4 linked regions of the Schizosaccharomyces pombe genome follow. Changing the gene in region 1 together with any one later gene gives a genetic interaction. Each region holds a gene or a part of one and is shown in the gene's direction. Other genes may lie near its edges.

The links.
Region 2: mutations in SPOM_SPAC2F3.16 (region 1) and etf1 together harm fitness more than expected from each alone (negative genetic interaction), as found in Schizosaccharomyces pombe (one large-scale study listed by BioGRID).
Region 3: mutations in SPOM_SPAC2F3.16 (region 1) and atf21 together harm fitness more than expected from each alone (negative genetic interaction), as found in Schizosaccharomyces pombe (one large-scale study listed by BioGRID).
Region 4: mutations in SPOM_SPAC2F3.16 (region 1) and vht1 together harm fitness more than expected from each alone (negative genetic interaction), as found in Schizosaccharomyces pombe (one large-scale study listed by BioGRID).

The regions. Positions count from the first base shown.
Region 1 is NC_003424.3:3,954,578-3,960,271, forward strand, and holds SPOM_SPAC2F3.16 (ubiquitin-protein ligase E3), read left to right. Parts: upstream 1-2,521; 5' UTR 2,522-2,565; coding exon 2,566-2,865; intron 2,866-2,934; coding exon 2,935-3,267; exon of another isoform or gene 3,268-3,322; coding exon 3,323-3,427; exon of another isoform or gene 3,428-3,489; coding exon 3,490-4,029; 3' UTR 4,030-4,850; downstream 4,851-5,694. Other genes in the region: P-TEFb-associated cyclin-dependent protein kinase Lsk1, read left to right, coding at 1-841, 888-978, 1,045-1,723, 1,775-1,838; protein Mtl2, read left to right, coding at 5,321-5,694.
Region 2 is NC_003424.3:4,516,569-4,521,347, forward strand, and holds etf1 (electron transfer flavoprotein alpha subunit), read left to right. Parts: upstream 1-2,453; 5' UTR 2,454-2,477; coding exon 2,478-3,503; 3' UTR 3,504-3,562; downstream 3,563-4,779. Other genes in the region: omt2 (4-alpha-hydroxytetrahydrobiopterin dehydratase), read left to right, coding at 974-1,264; anaphase-promoting complex subunit Apc14, read right to left, coding at 1,405-1,728; Sm snRNP core protein Smd1, read right to left, coding at 3,970-4,259, 4,316-4,365, 4,409-4,422.
Region 3 is NC_003423.3:1,720,194-1,725,367, forward strand, and holds atf21 (Atf-CREB family transcription factor Atf21), read left to right. Parts: upstream 1-2,819; coding exon 2,820-3,887; 3' UTR 3,888-4,257; downstream 4,258-5,174. Other genes in the region: mrpl35 (mitochondrial ribosomal protein subunit L35), read right to left, coding at 1-284; mRNA guanylyltransferase Ceg1, read left to right, coding at 4,654-5,174.
Region 4 is NC_003424.3:4,957,311-4,962,905, reverse strand, and holds vht1 (plasma membrane vitamin H transmembrane transporter Vht1), read left to right. Parts: upstream 1-1,995; 5' UTR 1,996-2,105; coding exon 2,106-3,812; 3' UTR 3,813-4,208; downstream 4,209-5,595. Other genes in the region: SPOM_SPAC1B3.15C (vitamin H transporter), read left to right, coding at 5,190-5,595. UniProt on the Schizosaccharomyces pombe protein: Involved in uptake of biotin and desthiobiotin with the concomitant entry of protons.

The DNA.
Region 1 (5,694 bases):
GTCTTTAGGAGGCCACACCCTGTCCTCTAATGCTTTCAAAAATAATTCATCTAGTATATCGCCATCCTCATCTGCGAAGGATCCTCGAGAACAGCGGAAAAGAACATTTCCTCTCAACGATACACATTCTTCCCGAGCAAGACAGCATGAAAGACCTTTTCGTTCTCGAAAATCTAGAAGGAGAAAGGGTAAAAAGGCATTCAGTCCTAGACCTGGCTCACCTCCATCACCTTCCTTTTACCGCTCAGGTAGTCAAAAACGAGCACGTAATTTAACTACCAAGGATTACTTTGCCAAACGCTCTGAAAGCTCTTCTAGCGCCTCCGTCTCACCTATATCACCGTCCGCAAACAGAAATGATTCAAAAAGGCAAGCTTCTTCTTTTCGAAGGTCTCCGCCTAGTTCTGTACATATGAAGCCTTCAGCTTTTAACGGTCGAAAGGTATCGCGGAGACCTTCATCTTCTCCTCCCCCTATTCCTTCTATCCCTCATGAAACTACTTCCTCCGATACACAAAAAAAATCTAGCGTGTCTTCTGGCTTTCCAGAGAACAAACATGGAAAATTTCACTTTCATATACCTAATGAACGCCGATCTCGATTCGATCAACCTCCTTCGAAACGTATGGCACTCACGTCCACGGCCCGTGAGTCTGTTCCAGCTCCTCTTCCTTCTCCTCCTTCCGGCCCAATTTATACATATACATATCCAAAGCCTGCCTATGAGAAAATCGACCAAATTGGAGAAGGAACTTATGGTAAAGTATACAAAGCCATTAACACAGTCACAGGAGATTTGGTAGCTTTAAAACGGATAAGGCTGGAGCAGGAAAAGGATGGTGTAAGTATAAAAATCAAGCTCGTAACTAAATTGACTAACTTTCTAGTTCCCTATAACTACTGTCCGTGAAGTCAAAATCTTGCAGCGTTTGCGTCACAAAAATATTGTTCGGCTATTAGAAATTATGGTGGAAAAAAGTACGATTAAATACTGTCCTCATTCACCGTTTAATTATAACTAGTTCTAACATTTTAAAATTCTAGGTTCTGTATATATGGTATTTGAGTACATGGATCACGATTTAACTGGAGTCTTACTAAATTCACAATTACATTTTACTCCCGGTAACATAAAACACCTTTCGAAGCAAATTTTTGAAGCATTAGCTTATCTTCATCATCGTGGGGTGCTTCATCGTGACATTAAAGGTTCTAATATATTACTGAATAACAATGGTGATCTAAAATTCGCAGATTTTGGTCTGGCGAGATTTAATACATCTTCGAAGTCGGCTAACTACACTAATCGCGTTATTACCCTTTGGTTTCGACCTCCAGAGCTATTACTTGGAGAAACTGCATATGACACAGCCGTGGACATATGGAGTGCTGGCTGTATTGTTATGGAGTTGTTTACAGGAAAACCTTTTTTTCAAGGGCGAGACGAAATCAGTCAGTTAGAGGTTATCTATGATATGATGGGTACCCCTGATGTTCATTCTTGGCCTGAGGTGAAAAATCTTCCTTGGTATGAGCTTCTGAAGCCAGTAGAGGAAAAGAAGTCGCGTTTTGTTGAAACTTTTAAGGAGATTTTAAGTCCTGCCGCCATTGACCTATGCCAAAAACTCCTTGCCCTAAATCCCTTTTGTAGACCGTCAGCTCATGAGACCTTGATGCATGAGTATTTCACTTCTGAGAGCCCACCTCCAGAGCCAGCAGTCATGTAAGTATAAAATTTATCGTTGAATGATATTTATCTAACTTATGTGTTTAGTTTGAAAAACATGCAAGGAAGTTGGCATGAATGGGAAAGTAAAAAACGAAAATCTAAAAGATAAATGAGCCAGAAAATTTTGTCAAGGCGAAGCTATGCAAGCTGGACAAATGTTTAAAAAAAATAATCTTTATATTTCATTTAATTTCTTTGTCTCGCTTTACTGCGGTCTATCTTCTATATATTTTGTTAACACTAGGCAGAGTAACAAATTTGTCTGATGCTGGACAACTTTTTTTCATTTTTTGCTCTCTTTTTCTTCCGAAAAAGATGAAATAAGAACACTAATAGCTCATGATAATTAAATGTTCCACTGGTTTATTTGACTATTATAACTCTTTCACCTTTTAAGAACTTAGAAATCAAAGGCTTGAAGTCTTGAAATGAGCTTGGTACTGTGTACAAAAAAGATAAATTCAAAGGACTCGTATGAATTTATGATGTGGTTTTCTTTTAATCAGTCAACCGTAGTAATAATAATTTGTTTACATATACTTTTTAATAATGTTAAGGTGCAGATGTTCTCAAGAGCCTGCTCAAATATTTAGTAATGATGATTTAACAATTAAGAGAGCAAAAATTAAGTTACTATTTGAATGCGTAGCTTAAAATTGATCAAAGTATATCTACGGCTTTTACAATAGTGTGATGGCACGGATATCACATTCCGCATTGCACTGGACCACACTATAAGTCAACACTGAACTGATCGAGGAATAGGTAAGCATTCCCCTTCTCCTTTTGATCAAGAACCATCATTATAACAAAAAAAACAAACACAAAAAAAGTCGATGTCATTGTCGGAGTATCTTCGTGAATTCGCTGAGATTTTTGAGGAAGCTGCACAAGAATTAACCTCAATATTCGAACTACCTCCTGACCTGTTGAAAGATATTACTGAAGAGGATGTTGGGACTGATGACTCTTGTAATAAGAAATTCCTTGAAGTTCAAAAGCAAAAAGAAGATGAAGAAGATGAAGAAATATTGAAAGGAGTGGATTTAACGCAGCAAGATTCCGTACGTGAAAAAATCCACGAAATACAATCGATGTCGCAATTGAGTGAGAAGAGAAAGGCCTTACTTATGCAGGTAAGTACATGAAATTAATCATAAAAGTGAGATTTAAATGAAAATAAGATTACTAAACTGGCTTTGTAGAAAATGCTGATGTCTGGTTATTTAAAATATCGACGAACTCACAAGAAAGAATCTGATGAGAACCAATTGAGCTCATCTGATCTTGAAAAGACTTATTATGACAAAGAGCAAGAAATTTTAGGGTGTTCTCATTACATGCGCAATTGCAAGGTTCAGTGTTTCGATTGTCACGAGTGGTATACGTGCCGTCACTGTCACAACGATGCTTGTGATCATGTTTTAGAACGACCTGCCGTAGAAAACATGCTTTGCATGATATGTTCCAAGGTTCAACCAGCAGCTCAATATTGCAAATACTGTAAGAACTGTATGGGCCGATATTACTGCAATAAGGTATGTGATATTTTATTTGATACTTGTTCAATATCACTAATACATGACTTAACAGTGCAAACTTTGGGATGACGATCCGAATAAAAGTAGCTATCATTGTGATGATTGTGGTATTTGTCGAATAGGACGCGGTCTTGGCGATGATTATTTCCACTGCAAGGTAACTTTCGTGTACTTTTAGCACATGCTTTGCTTTTTAAACTCATATTCTAACAGCTGTAGACTTGTGGCCTTTGTTTACCTATTTCGGTTTTCAATACTCATCGTTGCATCGAAAGAAGTACGGATTGTAATTGCCCAATTTGTGGTGAATACATGTTTAACTCTCGCGAACGCGTAATCTTTTTAAGTTGCTCTCATCCGTTGCACCAGCGATGTCATGAAGAATATATAAGAACCAATTATCGTTGTCCTACTTGTTACAAAACGATCATTAATGTCAATTCATTGTTTCGAATTTTAGATATGGAAATTGAACGACAACCCATGCCTTATCCCTATAACACTTGGATTTCTACCATCCGTTGCAATGACTGTAACTCACGTTGTGATACGAAATACCATTTCTTGGGTCATAAATGTAATTCATGTCATTCTTACAATACTTGTATTTCATCAATTTACAAACCTTTGGATCACCCACAGGTGTCTATCCCTCGACTGGCAACCGCTGAGGATGCCGGTATGCGACGGCTAATGGGACATTCTTGGGACAACAGCGATGAAGACTTTAATATTTTCGGGATTCACAGTTTTATATAGATTTTCTAACTTTATGAACTTCCTAAACTGTTACGATTATCCTATATGTACTATTATTTTGGAAAAGTTGCTATTTTCATTCAATTCTTTGCAAGAATTACGAATTTTTAACGTTTACCCCAATTGTCTGATTATATTTATTCCCTTTTCTCGTCCTTTTGCATCTACTTCTTATATGGTTTTTTTTCTCAACAAGTCAAGCGATGGTATGAAGTAAATCGCTTAAATTTCCTCGATGAAGAGAATTTCTGTTTTAATTAATCTAAACTCATCTACTTTTGTGTGAAGCTATGGTGTCTTGAAACATTCGCAAACATAAGGACTTTGCTTCATGCAATTCTGGGCCTCTCTCAATATTTCAATTTCCTGTTATTATGACTTATATGTTATTTGTCTTGATTTTTTTTACGGCTGGCATTCATTAAATAAAGAGTTTATTGTCATTCCATATTCATCTAATCCTTCAGATTCCTTTTAAACTGACTTTTTGTCTAGAAGATGCGATCATTCGTCAAGTTACTGCAACTATTCTTGTTACTTTTCTATCTGTCGTTGTGATTCTTTAGCAGCATCCAACTACAAAATTTTTTTACCACACTTGCAGTTGTCTCTTAAGAGCAGGTTTAGTAACGTGGATGGGTTGTTAGTCGGAGTTACTAGTCAGATGAAGCGATAATACTAATTTTCTACTATATCAATTTAATTTGGCATGAATAAAATTTCAATACATTGTTACTATGTAAGGTGGTTAACTCAATTACCGCGTGGAAACGATAGTGTCAAATGCAGCCATATGTTTCAAGCCAGTAGTAAATGGCATCTACTGTTGCGGATGTTTAGTAATTTAAAATTAGGGAAATCTATATGAATATTGCAGTATGTGAAAACTGTGGTAGCTTTCTCATTAAGCGCAAGTTAACGGCGATCTCTTTTTATCCAGCCATTTGAAATGAATAATTTGCCTTAGTAAAATTTCACCTGGTTCGTAACTTTAAGGTTCTTTGCTAGAGCATTGATAGGTAACATATTGGTAAGGTGAAAAAAAGCCTCGAAACTAACTCGGAAAGAATCCCCACATTGAAAAGTGCATCACCCTTACCTATAGGCAAAGCCAAGCAGGACCGCGACATTTTCTCTTTACCGCTTACTCTTCACCGTGCTTTTAAGGGAATTCATCAAGATACATTGAAATTGGACGAGATCTTATTATTTTTCTAGAAAAAAAATCCAACGTTCTTTTAAAAACTTCAAAAAACCTTCTTTCTGTAAGGGAATTCGCACGCAAGAGAAAATGTCATTCACGAACAATACTTCAAGTGTGGACACTTCCCTCAGCTCATCTGCTTCTAGCAGTATTCCGGCAAGCAGCTCTTCTGCTGCTGCTAGTACGAGTTTGAGTAGCTCAAGCGTGATTCCTTCTAGTTCGAGCTCTATGCTTTCATCGTCTAGTGCTACTGCAATTAGTTCTTCATCATCGTCTTCACCTCTTTCATCCTCATCTTTTACTTCTCCTGCTTCTTCTTCTTTTATCACATCTTTGGTCTCATCAAGCAGCCAACAAAGCTCTAGTAGCAGTGCTTCATTGACCTCTAGTAGCAGTGCTACACTGACTTCCAGTAGCAGTGCTTCCCCGACCTCCAGTAGTTCGAGTCACGCGCTTAGCAG
Region 2 (4,779 bases), 560 kb from region 1:
CTATCTCTATGGTTGTTTATATCACCAACAAATGTCAATTGAGAATTTGAGGAAAGAACAGAAACCTAAGAGGAATCTTGTTCTTAAAGGATGAAAAATCAACATGACAATTCCTTCATTTTATACATCTTGGAAGCGAAACACAAGAAGGGGTGAAAGGAAGTTGAAGAGCTTGAAAATGTCAGTCAGCAAAGGAATTCCACAATTTTTTTGATAAGTGACGTGAAAGAAACCTTTTGAGTTTGGTTTCAATGCTTCATGCTTCTCGAGAAAAGAGGCGGTCTTGGGTTTTTATAATTTTGTGTTTGAAGGTCCCATTTGATATTTGGAATGTTGCTGCAGTGAAACCTAACTGTTTACAAGTATTTTTATTTTTATTCATAAATGTCTCGTAAGCTAAGTCTCACCTTTTCTCTTATGCAAACAGGAGGTTATTTGATTATAGTTATCGAATAAATGGATGATTGATCCATGTATAAAATGATATTGTTAATGGTATTGATATCTTGTTTTAAAACATGTTTGTTACTTATAGAAGCACTATGTGTTGAAGCCAAGTCGATAAACTTTTAAAAATTAGGAAGTGTTCCATGAATAAAATATTTTAACATTAAAAAGAGCGAATGACTATTTACCCATAAAAACTGATGGATAAAATGCTACAAGACCAAACCAAGCATATTTTATTTATTTTGGAAATAAAACTAGGAAACTGTTTATACAATTAACAAATATAATTCTAATGCTCCTCTGTAGAAGAGGTTCTTTTAGCGTAGTAGCTAAATTTACTCTTTTGATGTTGTGAATAAGACAAGACGATATGATTTCGTTCTCTTTCACATACCAAAGTAAAAGGAGGTAAATTGAGTGTATTAAAACAGTTACGTTCTACACACATCACATTGATATTTTACCTAAATTTTGAAGAAAAACATTTTTTCTGGAATAAACGTTGGTTTAGAAGGTTGAAAAAATGAACACATCAGCTAGATTACTGGCGTTAGTCTCGAAATCAAAAAACAACTGGATTCTTCAACAAGGAGATACAAAACTATTTAAAAGCTTTCGTTTTAAAAACTTCATTGAAGCTTGGGGATTTATGAGCTGTGTCGCATTGCGTGCACAACAGCTAAATCATCATCCCGAATGGACTAATGTATACAATAAAGTGGATATTACGTTGACAACTCACGATACAAAGGGACTTACAGAAAAAGATTTAAAGCTGGCAGAATTTATTGATACACTTGCAAAGGATAACTGAAAGCTGCAACCAAGAGGGTAGTAGCGGAAAACTATCTTGAGACACAGATTGCCAGAAATTATTCTTAATATTTTGAATTAATTTAGTGTTTAGTGATGTGGTGTTTGAAAGGATAAGAATTTATATCATAAACTCATTAATCACCATTCAGCCAACTGGTCAAGTTGTTGAACATGTTTTGTCAGATGCTGCATAATAGCTTGCCTGTATTCTGGAATAGAACTTCTGCTGGAAGCAATTCTGGATATTGCAATTCTACTTGCCCTTTCATTTCTTTCTTGCTCGGCCTCTTCACCACCTATAACATCTCGATAATTCCAAAATTCAATGGCTTTTGAAGCTTCAGGGAGTAGAAGTGGTTTCTTGGCGAGAGGTTTTGGGTTGCCAGACATGGAGAGTCTTTGAAAGACGTTTCCAAAAGTTCGATAACTTTTGGACTGACCAGTACCAGCAAACGGATCCATATGACCTCGAAACGTTTTAATATACAAAAGTAAAAAAAACCCCCGTGAGTACTAAGAGACAATGACTTCAATCATTGATTTGTTCTTCTTTAAAAGAGAACCGTTTAAATATGAAAATTGTAATCTCTTTTGTATTTAAGCAGTAAGTGAAGAGGTTTGGACAAGTGATTAGGAAATTTCACCGATTTTCTTGTTTATTTACTATCTTGTGTGCGTAGTTGAACAAAACTCCTTGCCATCGTTAGAAAGCAATGCTTGTGGTATAAGAATGTGGAGTGTGTTATTAAAATAAAATAGTGAAGTCACCTTTTGTCTCCTAATATCTTAGTGAACTTTAACGTTGATGAACGATTCAATAACTGTAATGCTAAGAAGGATACATTGAGTTTCTCATATTTTTTTTTATTTGAAAAGAATTTTCATTATTATTATTTTTAATGATGCACCTAGTTATTGCAATCGCTATAGACTTTAAACTTTGTATTGAAAGAATTTGTCAAAATATTGGCAGTTGGTTATCAAAAAAAATAAATGTAAGGTATATGAAAATTAGGATGTTTTCATACTCACGAAAAATCATTTCTGGTAGATAAATCACTTAAATATATCACGATTACTTATTTTTAGTTATTTTACCTTTGAAATGTAAGACTGTATTACTTAAGTTTTTTCTTAGTATAATATGTGAACATACATATTGTCAGCGTACATCCTCATTCACCCTCAAACCTACAACGAAGTATTCTAACATGCTAAGGACTACTAGCCGGACATTTTCTAGGGCTTTGTCTTCTTCTAACTTTAAAATAAATTGTGGAAGAAGGCATTGGTTTAGTGTTTTGACGTTGCTTGAGCATCAGGGAGGGAACTTGTCTCCAGCATCCTTGTCAGCAGTAGAAGCAGCAAAGCGTACCGGTGGGGATGTTTTTGGATTTGTAATCGGTAAGGATTCTTCTCAAATTTCTCAAAAGGTAGCAAAATCGGTGAACGATTTGAAAAAGGTTATCTACGTTGAGAATCCGTCATATGAGCATAACATTCCCGATCAAATAGCCAATGTTCTTTTTGAAAATGTTAAGAAAAATGAAATTAGTCATGTTTTTTCTGCTCATTCAACTGTTGGTAAAGGGGTGATGCCTCGTTTGGCTGCTATGTTTGATGTGATGCAGATTAGTGACATTATTGGTGTGGTTTCTGCTGACACATTCGTTCGTCCGACATACGCGGGAAACGTAAACGTTACTGTGTCTACAAAGGATCCTATTAAAATCGTCACCGTTCGTGCATCTGCATTTGACGCCGCTCCTTCAAGTGGTGAAGGAGCAGCCACTGTTGTTGAAGGTATTGATCCAAAACCAGCTGCTCTACAAGAATGGGTTAGTGAGAATATTATAAAGAATGCTAGGCCTGATTTGTCTTCTGCCGAAAGAGTTGTTGCTGGTGGTCGACCTTTGAAAGACAAAGAGACATTTGAACGCATCCTTACACCTTTGGCTGACAAATTGGGTGCAGCAATTGGTGCTACACGTGTTGCCGTGGATTCTGGCTATGCTGATAATTCTTTACAAATAGGTCAAACTGGAAAAATCATCGCCCCAAAGCTTTATATTGCTGTTGGAATTGATGGTGCTATTCAGCATCTTGCCGGAATCAAAGATAGCAAAGTCATTGCTGCTATAAATCGCGATGAAAATGCTCCTATCTTTCAAACAGCAGATGTGGGAATTGTAGGTGACTTATTTGAAATCGTCCCGGAGCTTACTGAAAAACTTTGAAAATCATGTTGAGGAATGATTCCTTATTTTTCATAATATCACATTTATTTCAAATTTCACATCTTTTTAGAAGTTAATAAAATACACGTTTATTTAACTGGGTACTCGTAATAAATTAAGGAAATTTTTGATGTAATATTTAATTATATACCAGTGAAACAACTCTGAAGTCGTTTTATACATACATTTATGAAGCCACCTCAGCAAAGCTATCGTAGGTTGATTATCAAACATTTCAACGTATGAGAAAGAAAGGGATTTTTTTAGCGGTCTAGATATTTAACCAGAGATAAATGATAGAAACATGGAAAACATAGAATACGCATACACTCTCAGCAATACTTCAATGTCATCACAAAGCAAATCTATTAAAAGAAAATAAAATGCAAAGGCCGATTGATATTGCCAATAATTTTAAATTCTCTGACAAAAATAAGGGTGCGAAAAGAGAATATTTTCATAATATTTAAAACCCACGAGAAGCACCGCGGCCTCTGCCTCTAGTTCCACGGCCACGTCCACGTCCACGACCTCGTACTACCTCTTTCTTCTTTTGTTTTGGCTTTGTGCTATCATCAATTAAAAGGGTATCAAGTGGTAACGAGTCTGGGAGGATGTAGTAGCGTATGTTATTTCCACGAATTGACAGAGTTTCTACAGGCACTGGCTCTCTACCTTTGACAGTCATTTTAACAGCTTTTAAATGGGTATTCATTTGCATATCAACAGAAGTAATCGTTCCGTGAACAATTGTGCCTACGCGATTTGGTAAGTTTGGTTCATTTATTATACGAAAGTAAGGCTTTACGTACCATTTTTTAACTCAATAGAGACAGTTTCATTCGTCAGCTTCATTAAAAAGCTAAACTCGTTAGGAATATGTATAGATTTTTTATCATACTTACCGTACCAACTTCATGGTGTGTGCTTTGGTGTTCCTGGCAACTGCAAAAATCAAGTATTATGTTCGACTAAAACACATCAACAATAGATAAAATCATCAATTTTATGTTAAGATATAATGGATTCTGAAGTTTTACTAGTCCAAAATAGCTTTGTGATATTAATAGGCTGATCTTCATGTGCATTTATTTTTCCAGTATCTGAGAATAAAGTTGAGAAGCTAAGACTTCTTAATACAGATTCGACTGTTGAAAAAGCTTGATACTAATTTTAATAATTAAGTGAAAGCACTCATTAGTCTAAATAAATGGGTTTCGAACCCAATACTCGAATGAGCTTTAAGGCATCAAATTTTAGAGATAAAATTATTATG
Region 3 (5,174 bases), on another chromosome or scaffold:
ATGTAAAGGAACACCGGATTCGTGTAGTCGATCTCCTTTTTATGAAATTTAGAGCGTACTTCCGGTAAATTAATTTGTGATAAAACCTGTAACCGTTCTATTTCTGGGGAAGTTTCACTTGGGTTTTCTAATAATTTAGCCTGAAGCTTTTTGTGAACTTTCTCCGAGTATTCCTGTATTAACTTTACAGAAGAGCGATATGCATTTTCCTGAGCAGCACTGTAAATACTGCGAGCCCTACAGACATTCGAAATCGTAGGAATTCTAGGCCATACGCGTTTCATCCTTGCAATGGTAAAAGCTAAGTAATTAACGGTATGGATGTGTATAGGAATAGAATAACACAAGAGGGTATAGCGCAGTGTAAGGAATGCTAATGCACAGCTTTTTCGATATTTACGGTTATACAAAATAAAATTAGAAATGGAAACTGTGGATGTTAAACATGTTAATTGGAAAAGGTCAATCATACCGAGTCCCTTCAAGGTTATGACCAAAGTTTTAGTGGTAGGTTTAAGCAACAATTCTACTCCCGTAAGCTGCTTCTAATGGGAACTAGACTGTAGCAATAGCGTTCATGTTTAACCAAAAGCTACAAGTTATATGAAACGGTCATTTGCAAAAGTCAGTAAGTTTCAATGACTATAATGAAAATATATTGACTCGACGACACATAGTGAATCATGAGTCAGAGTCCGTATGAAGTAATATGTTCCTAATTTGACGGCTGCATTGAAAATTCAGCAATCGGAAGGAATGAATAAGAGAAAAATATTCAAAAGAAGTGAAATAGCTACGTGGGTTAATCAATAGTGTCTACGTCCAATTATTATCTGAGGTATACACATGCAACAATCACGGCATTTACATCTCAGTAAATTAAAATAAAGAAAAATAATATCATTAAATTAAGTCAAAAGGTTTAAAGGTGATATCCTATGAATTCGGGAAATTGCCAACTATATCTTAGATAGTCACATTTCTACCAAATTGACGTAGAGCTTAATTAAATATTCCAGATGTTGCTAAAGTATTCTCATATTGTCAACTGCGAAGTTCAACATCTTTCGATTTGCAGAACTGATTCAATCCAGTGGCTAACTCATGGTCGTATGTACGATCCGTTCTGTCTATTTTGATTTAATGTGACCAAAAGTTAAACTTCATCTCGTGTATAGTTAAAAGATATGATAGTATACATACTAAAAATGAGAATTCTGGCAAACCAGATTTAAATCAATAACATGTTACTCTTGCTTGCGACAATATAAGTAAATGTGGGCAAGAAAGATGAAGAAGTATTAGAAACAAGTTGCGGCTAAATTTTGAGAAAGGATTGATAGCGGAAAGGCTACTAATAGTAATGATATGAGCTATTATTATCAGTAACGATAAAGCCGTTTATGGTGGCGCGCGTAAGAGAACGACAAAATTTGAAGCCTAGGTAGTTTCATCAAAACCATTAAAGGAAATAAATATGAAAAAAGCTAGCAAGAGAGGCGATATTATATTTTCGCATTCACAACTTTACTATTGACGACTACGAATACCGAGGGATAGCGTTATTATCTCTCCACAAGTAATCGGCTATTTTTTGATTGGTTTAAATAAAAGTAAATCCTGATTATATTTGACATAATCTGCATCAAATAGAACTCTAGATTTTCCTTTCCGAATATGGTGGCCAATTAACGGTACGACTGTGATGTAAATATTACACAGTGGAGCGACACGTGAATGTAGTCCCCTTCGGTTAGCTCCTTAAAATGGAGGCCTTAAAGGATAATACTGCTTGACTTTTTTAGCATAGTGCCTTTGTTAATTGCAACAAATCCCTTCAAACAAAAAAAAAATAAATTTTTATAAAGAAAAACTTTTTATTTCTATACGGCAAGTTCATCTCATAAAGTAAACAAATCATTTCCCGATTGGCTACCCTAGCCCTTCGTTTGTTTGTTTTGCAGTGACGTCAAAATTCATCTCACCCGATCAACATATATAAACATTGCGACACAAACCAAAAAGTTACCGACTGCAGCATCATATTTCTCAGCAGAAACGTATTCTTATAGTAATCCAAGTCCAAAATTAAGGAATTGGTATCTTAAACCACCTTAGTACATAGTTCTCTATTGTTTATAAGCCTCTTTACTTGCCAGGGACGCAGTAAGACATTGCTTCCTTCACCACCTTCATTATCCTTTACCTTCTTTCTCTGTCCACCTTATATATATATACTTATTTTCCCAGGAATCCTCACTTTTGCCATTAATCCATTCCATCCTTCTGTAGAACGACGAATTGTCATCCCTTCCTTTATCGTTCGTTCATTTCCTAAAACCGGGACACTACTGCATGCTTAAAACAGAGGAAAAATAAAGAGAGAACACATTTATATAATTGAAAGAAACTTTTCCATTGATAGCTCCTAAGTTTCAAATCACCAACTTGTCGGTTTATACATTCTTCATTTTCTTTTATTTACTTTTTTGAAGAAGTTCACAGGGATCACTATTCAGAAATTTTATACAAAGATATTGCATCCTTATTCATCAATCCAAATTTGCGTCACTTGATCGACCACAATTTGCTTCATCTTCCCTTCCCAATTTGTTTCGCCAGCACCTGAATAACATAGCCTCTTTTTAAGATTTAACCTTCTTCAAGAAATCACTACATATTCGCACTACTAACAAAAAAGAAACTTTCGCTTTTTATTTAGTCCGTTCTTGTATCAACTATCTTCATCGGCTTTACCGTCGAAACCATTTCAACCGCACTCAATAGAAAATTAACTTGCTCATCATCAATCTTCCATCATGGATTTCGCAAATGTGTATCTCGGGTTAGATACACTAGGTAATGAAGGATATGGTGCTAGCGTCAGTAATGGCACTCACCATGATTTTCATTTTAACTTCAATACATTCCGCGATGGTGGTAACCATGAAGTTGGAGAAAAACGCGCTGAATCTAGCGATATCGGAGTATATGAATGTAGAGGTCCAGTCCAGGGACCTAAAGATCAAACATCCTTTCCCTCGAATTCACATAATAACTACGCTTCAATAGTAGGTGATGCTAGCATTGGACATTACCTCAAAGGACCCGAGCGTACTTCAGAGGTATCATTACCTCAAACGGTAAACCTTTCGGAGATTTCTAACAATAATGACAAAGGCCAGCCTACAAATACTCCTCCTGTACGCTCAACAATTGTTGCACCTTCATTATACTCTGAAGGTAGTACTTTGAATCATTATAATAATGGATCTCATCAAGTGCTTCATCCACAATTCCAAAATGGAACCAACGCCCCATACGTAGTGCAGTCAAATCTTATGCAAAACAATGTTAATCTAACAGGAGCGGAACAAGAAAAAGGTTTGGACCTATATAAGAATTCCGCTACTGCGAATAACGATGAGATTTTCTATAATCTTGAATCCTTACGTAGAGAAGGATACTTAAACTCCAACAAGAAGCAGTCTCAATCTCCAAATGGAGACTACAACAGCAGCGATGAGTCCTGTTCCAATAAAACCGTCGCCTCCAGTCAACGACGGGGTACACCTGGCAGTAACAATGTTCATACCGCTAGTAACAATGAAACTCCTGATATGAAGAGGAGGCGGTTTTTAGAGAGAAATCGAATAGCCGCATCGAAATGCCGCCAAAAGAAAAAGCTTTGGACACAGAATCTCGAAAAAACAGCACATATCGCATGTGAGCAGTCGAAAGCTCTAAGGATTTTAGTCAGCCAACTACGTGAAGAAGTAATTTGTTTGAAGAATCAACTATTAGCTCATCAAGATTGCAATTGCGAAGGAATTCGACAATATCTTTCTTCAGAGGCTCAAGGAATTATGTCCTTTCAGAAACATTGAGCAAATGACACCCCATTGAATCAAGTTTCGTAACATTTTTTTATTATACTGTATATGCATTTCTGAGAGCCTGGATAGAATCTTGCAATAGGAGATGCTTAAAAGACGGCCAGTGCTGCTCTACTGCTTGTCTATAGTAATTGTACTTTAACTCTGGCATATTTTATTTTTCTTTTTTCACAATACTATTATTTTCTTCGCGTCACTGTGTTCATGGGATTTGCAATCTCACTCCAAACTCGTTTCATTCAATTGCTTGGGTTTTTCATTCATGTTTCTTCATTAAAAGTGTTTATGTTTCGAAGATCCTTTACGCACGTTTCATTTCCAGATTAATAATTACTGTAATGATATATCTTCCCTATATGTATTTTTTTAATAGGTTACGATTGCTTTACGAACTTGACCTAGATGAGCCAAATCTGTAATCACTGCCATATAATCTGTACCTCGTTCACAGACATGTCATTTTATCTTCAGTACGACACCACAGTTACATATATTGTTTGCTTTGGAATAAAAAAAAAATTAAGTAATAGAATAACACTTTCTGAAGTAAATGGTAGAAAAGATAACAGTATTCGTAGAGCAGCTATAATTATATGCATTTTTGCGTTTTGCAGCAAAAGATCACTATACTGCATAAGGAATTTTTATACAAACCATGTGTCTTTATTTAGTACATTAAGACTATATCCCGTTTCTACTCCTTCAGAAAGTGCTTAAGCCCTCTCTTAGCAAAGAAACGAGTGTATTATTAAAAGGAATGGCACCCTCAGAGAAAGACATTGAAGAGGTATCAGTCCCTGGAGTTTTAGCACCGCGCGACGATGTGAGGGTTTTAAAGACACGAATTGCCAAATTATTAGGAACAAGTCCTGATACATTTCCTGGATCACAGCCAGTTTCTTTTTCAAAGAAACATTTACAAGCATTAAAAGAAAAGAACTATTTCGTATGTGAAAAAAGTGATGGAATTCGTTGTTTACTTTATATGACCGAGCATCCTCGGTACGAAAATCGACCCAGTGTATATTTATTTGATCGTAAAATGAATTTTTATCATGTTGAGAAAATTTTTTATCCAGTTGAAAATGACAAATCTGGAAAAAAATATCATGTTGATACACTTTTGGACGGTGAGTTGGTTTTAGATATCTATCCAGGTGGTAAGAAGCAACTGAGATATTTAGTCTTTGATTGTTTGGCATGTGATGGAATTGTTTATATGAGTCGATTGCTTGACAAACGCTTGGGAATTTTTGCTAAAAGCATTCAAAAGCCCTT
Region 4 (5,595 bases), 1.0 Mb from region 1:
TTTTTTAAATTTAGGTTATTAATTTCTCTTTTGTTTTCCAGGCACCAACAAATAAGCAAACGTATATTGCAATGAATGAGTTTACAAGTCAAGTGTGGGTATTGCATTTTTCTCATCGTTTTAAGCATAATCCCGTTAGTTTTTCCAACAGTGAAATTTTTTTCCATACACTCTTTTAACATTTAGTAGTTTTTGACGAAACTGGCGATTCCCACAAAGTTTACTAATCGCTGATCGCTAAAAAAAATCCACAAGGTTTCATTAGTGATCTTTTGAATTCATCCGAGATGCTCCCTACGATTTCTGTTATTTTTGCAAGCACATTCGAAACGAGCAATATTTTCTCATTCTCACGCCAGGATGGATGCAACAGATCTAACATCGTTGCTCTATTCAAAAATTCATTGTAGGGGTGATTTGCAAAAAAGAACATGCAAAACAAGCATGACATTGAAATAACAGAACTGGCAAAAGCAGTAAACGAAAAAAAAAGGGGCAAAAATTAAGAAATGAAACTGTAAATGAACGGGTTTAAAAGATAAAAAATTTGCTTAAATGTATTAATTAAACAGGGAATTTGCTGAAAAAAGAGCACTGCTCTCATACTTAACCTTCGTACTCTTATTATCGAGAAAACCAACGCTACTTGGTGAATTGATATCTTCGCCAATAGCAAATTGGATATATCATTTATCTCCAATTCATCAGCTATCCCTTGCTGAATCCACTAAAGATTAATAATGAACGAAAATAATTTCAATGAGAAGTATGAGTTTGTTGGGTAAAGTGATTTATGAACCTATGACATGTTGAATCGTGTAGTAACTTTCGTAATGAAGAAATGATATTGCCGTTCAAATTATATCCTACTAAATTTAATCTTATTACGATCAACAAGCTAAATCGTTCGGATACTTACTATTTTCATCGACATGAACTAAAACAATAACGAGTAACAACTTTGAATCGTAAACGAATTCTAAATTTTGGAGTATGTTCCACATTGAAGATCGTTAAGATGAATGGCTAAAGCAATTGATTCCTAAATAGAAATTTCTTTTTTATGCTATCTTACTACCTCATTGTTGTTAAAAATACTTTTATTTTGGAAATTAATGAAAGATAGAGCGGTATTGTTTAATGGAATTGATCTTTCCGGATCTGTCTAGATTTTCAATCCGCACTAGCGTACCAACACATTATACTTTGAAGCATTTGATTAGCGGCTTGTTCAAACACACACGTAGATGTATCACGGTATTCCATGAAGAGATATGATCGTGGAAGAAAACTAATATGGGCGGCTATCAAAAAAAGTCGACCGGCTGGAGAACTAGTTTGCAATGATGCCGAAGAATGCAAAGGAAAAATATTAGGCACATTTGAAGGCTAGGTATTTGAGAAAAGAATTATAGTGAATGATAATCAGTGATTTATGTAACAGCTCTACATAATTAAAACAAAATAAGAGATCTATATTGTCGACAAAAATAATATTAGAGAGAAAAACGACATCATATACCTTCATAATATTATAATTATTCTTAAAGAAAATATTTGAAAGATCCAAAAATCTTTATATTAGTATATAGAATACCTGTTGCTGGTGTACGTTTGAATGAACAATCGCTCAACGTTTCGACTACCCGTTTTAAAAACATCTTCATTAAATCTTAATACTACTATAGAATTCGATCTATTTCTATTTCTGAGCGAAGTTTATTCAAAAGTTTAGACGCCTCTGCTTCCATATATTTCCCACGATCTAAGCGATATTTATTTCTTATCCTTCATTTCGCTAACTTTCACAATCTAAGATACCGTGATTTGACGAGACCTGGCCGTTGCGAAATTTCATAAAGAATAGTGACGGGTTTTTTTGTATTTTAATATTTGTCGCAATCTTCATTGCAATTAAAGTAAGTTGGCCAGGTAGCAATATTGACGCCCTTCATTAGTATATATATGCGCCGTTTTTCTAATTTTCAATTCTTCGTGCTGAAGTGAACGGGGTTGTGTTGGTTAAAATCCACCACATTTAGAAAAGTATTGGAAAGCCATCACTGTCTCGATATCCATCTGTCATTCCCGAAAATTTCAAAATAATGGCTTCAGAATGGCCTGAAACATCGAGGGCCTCCTCAGTTGAGGAGAATCCCAAACTTAATATTCCTGAAATTGTCGAAAGCGTATCAGATTCAAAGCCCTCATTGAAGAATCAATTTTCGACGACAGTAATCGATTCGTCTGATCTCAATGTTTTTAACGATGGTGCGGAAACGACGGTAAAAGAGCAAGAATTTACTAGTAGCGAATTGCGAAGGTTACAGAAATTAAGATTGAAAATGGACCTTCGTATCATTCCATGTCTTTGGATTCTTTACTTTTTGTCTTGTTGTCTTCGTTTTACTGTCTCACTTTCGTTTACCATGAATACGGCTCAGGGCCACAGTCTTATTCAAACACTTTCTGGCTACTCAGCTCACTATCTCGCCTTGGGTTTGGCGTTGTTTTACGTTGGCTACATTATTTTTGAGGTGCCCTCCAACTTGATGATGGCATTTATCGAGCCCCGAATTTGGGTGTCTCGTATCCAACTCACCATTGGTGTTGTTGGTGCTTGCCATGCAGTTTTGGGAACGAAACATGGTAATGCGCAAAGTTATGTCGCTTTACGTTTCTTCTTAGGTGTCGCTGAATCCGGCTTATGGCCCGGCTTGGCTTACTACATGAGCCGTTGGTATAGGGGCAAGCACTTGGGTAAACGTATTGGTTGGTATTATACGGCTGCTCAAATTGCAGCAGCAGCCGTCAGTTTGGTTTCAGCTGGTTTCCAAAAGATGGATGGCGCTCGCGGCTTGTATGGATACCAGTGGATGTTCCTTATCTGGGGAGTCGTTGCTATTGCCCAAGCATTATCCATTCCCTGGTGGTTGCCGGCAGTTGCTTCAAAGGAGCATAGAAAGTCGCTTAGCTCGTTTATTCCCTTACCCAAATGGATGAAAACTTTGTCTCCTCAGAGAATTGGCTTCCTCACGCCTGCCGACAAATCCCTTCATTCTAGATACATTGCAGAGATGAATGTTGGTAAGCGGTGGCAATGGTCTGATTTGCTAAAGTCTTGCTTGGATCTCCGCGTATGGCCTTTTATTCTCATGTACTTTGGTATCGTCGGTGTGGGTAATGGTATCTTCAACTATTGTACTTTGATTATTGAAGAGATTAACCCCAGTTTTTCCGGTATCGATATCTCGTTGTTGAATGCTCCTATTTGGCTTGCCGACGCTTTGGGCATTGTCACTGTTATGCCATTGTACGACAGATTCCATAAGAAGTTTTCCTTCTTCACGGGATCCTGTTTGATCATCATCGCCGGCCTTGCCGTTGCTAACTACGCTCCTCGTGCCTGGTCACGCTATGGTGGTTTACTCATGATTGGATTTGGTCTTGGTCCAACCGTTCCCATTTGTATGGCCTGGTGCTCCGCCTCCATGGCCAAAACCTATGGCGATGTAGGCGTGGCTTCCAGCTTGGCCCTCGTGACGGGTTTGGGCAATTTGGGATCTGTCGTTACGACATATGCTCTTTACAGTGGCTGGCCTGGTGATCCTACCTTCCGTAAAAGTAATGATGTCTGCATTGCATTGATCGGTGTCTCCATAATAGCGTGTGGTATTGAATTTTTGCTGGATAAGACTGGATTCGGTCAATTCAACGCTAGTTTTAACAACCATGATCATGAGGTGGAAGACGAGCAAGAGATGACCGATATTAAGCCCGCGCTTCCTTCTTCCCAACAGGCTGACGCTTGACCTTATGCAAGAACGAATATAGATATGTCGAAGGAGCAAAGAACAAGACCATCCTTAGGGTTCGTATATTCTTCACTTTCCTCCGTATTAAAAGTCTCATCTACGTTTTTTTAGAACCATATTCCTATTGTTTGTTCTTTGCTACAAATTTTAATGTTGATGCTTTTTGTGATAACACGCTATTATTTTAAAAGTCGATTATGAGAGACCGGGTTTCTTGTCTTGAGAAATTTTACAAGTTGAAACAATCAACCGATCCTCGTTCTTCGTAGTTTTTTCTTTTGTTGTTTGTTTATCATTCTTTTTCTTTTATTTTGGGAATAATTACTTTGTGGTATCCTCAATGCATTCATTTTATTATTAAGTTTCTATATACACAACACATTATTTCAGGTTCAAAAATATCATTTCCTTCAATTTAAATCCCTTTTACTCTCTTTATTTATTTATTTTTTTTCTTTCTCATTATTCTAGTTATTTATCTATCACTACATTGTACTGTAACTCTACCAATTTTATATGCTCCCATACACAATCGCATCTTTGAAGATTCACTCACTACTCACTGTACCCATATCCAAGTTCTTAAGTTAATATAAAGATGCTTTTTACGAGGACCGGATTCTAAAAAATTTTGCATATTTTACGACTCCGACTGAGAACTTGGGTGACTAGCTCATTGGGTCTTCTTACCACGTTTTATTGAAAATGTGAAAAATTGCATTGTTTCAACTTTGTGGAATGGAGCGAAAATGCGCTTATTCACTCGTCAATTTGAATAACCAACAGGATGTTAGCGTAGAACGACGTGGGTAAATTGTCTCTTAATCATGACTGCGATTTCAGCTAAATGATGATGAATCGTTAGATTGAAGAATGACTAATCCAGAGCCGAAACTCCGTTTATAAGTTGAAGTGAAGCAGAAAGTTTCATTCCTCTCCATAACTTAAAAGAAGTAGGCTTTCACACTGCATTGTGGAGTGGAAGTCGAAGCATTCCCAGTTAATTGTTAGTTAGCTTAACATTACTCGTAGGATTTGTGCAATTGAGATTTTTTATAGATCTTCCCTTATTTATTAATATTGTGCTTTTGGTAGTCTGTATGAATTCTACTGCTTGAGACAATTCTTAGTTAATTTGCCTGTGGTGTATGCTAAGTTCGCTAGACTTTGTTTTACATTGATTATTTATTTTTGGATCTAATTCGGTTCGGTTTTGATTTATTTTTTAGACGTGGCTCATATTTTTTTTATTGGTCTGGTTAATATTTATTTAATCTAAAGTTATTTCATTCCTGTTTCTCCTATTTCTCCTATTTATTGTTCCGTAAAACTCACTTTACTGTTTCTTTTTTGTTGGCCTTGGAATTTGAAAACATGGACACAAACACCTTACCTCCCAAGCCGTCTATCTCTCCATCAATTGCTTCCTCTTTCCCGACCGTGAAACCCTTCTCTTCTCAAAACTCTACCACTTCGAATCCCGAGTTATCTCACATCGAAAAAGAGTCAAATGCCTCCTCCATTATAATTAGTCAACAACCGTTAAGTCCATCAAATATTTCTTCTGCCGCTCCCCTCGACGAAACCCACATTGCTACAAAAGCTTCAGCTTCTTTACGAAATAACAATGTTTCTCCTCACATTCCTTCACCCTCTTCTTTTTCTTCTTCTTCCTCCTCCGACCTTGACAAGTCCATGTTAGATGAAAAACATCCTGATTCTGAGGATATTACTGCTGTCTCTTTGTCTACGCCTCCTTTTCCCGAGAGCATCGATGTTG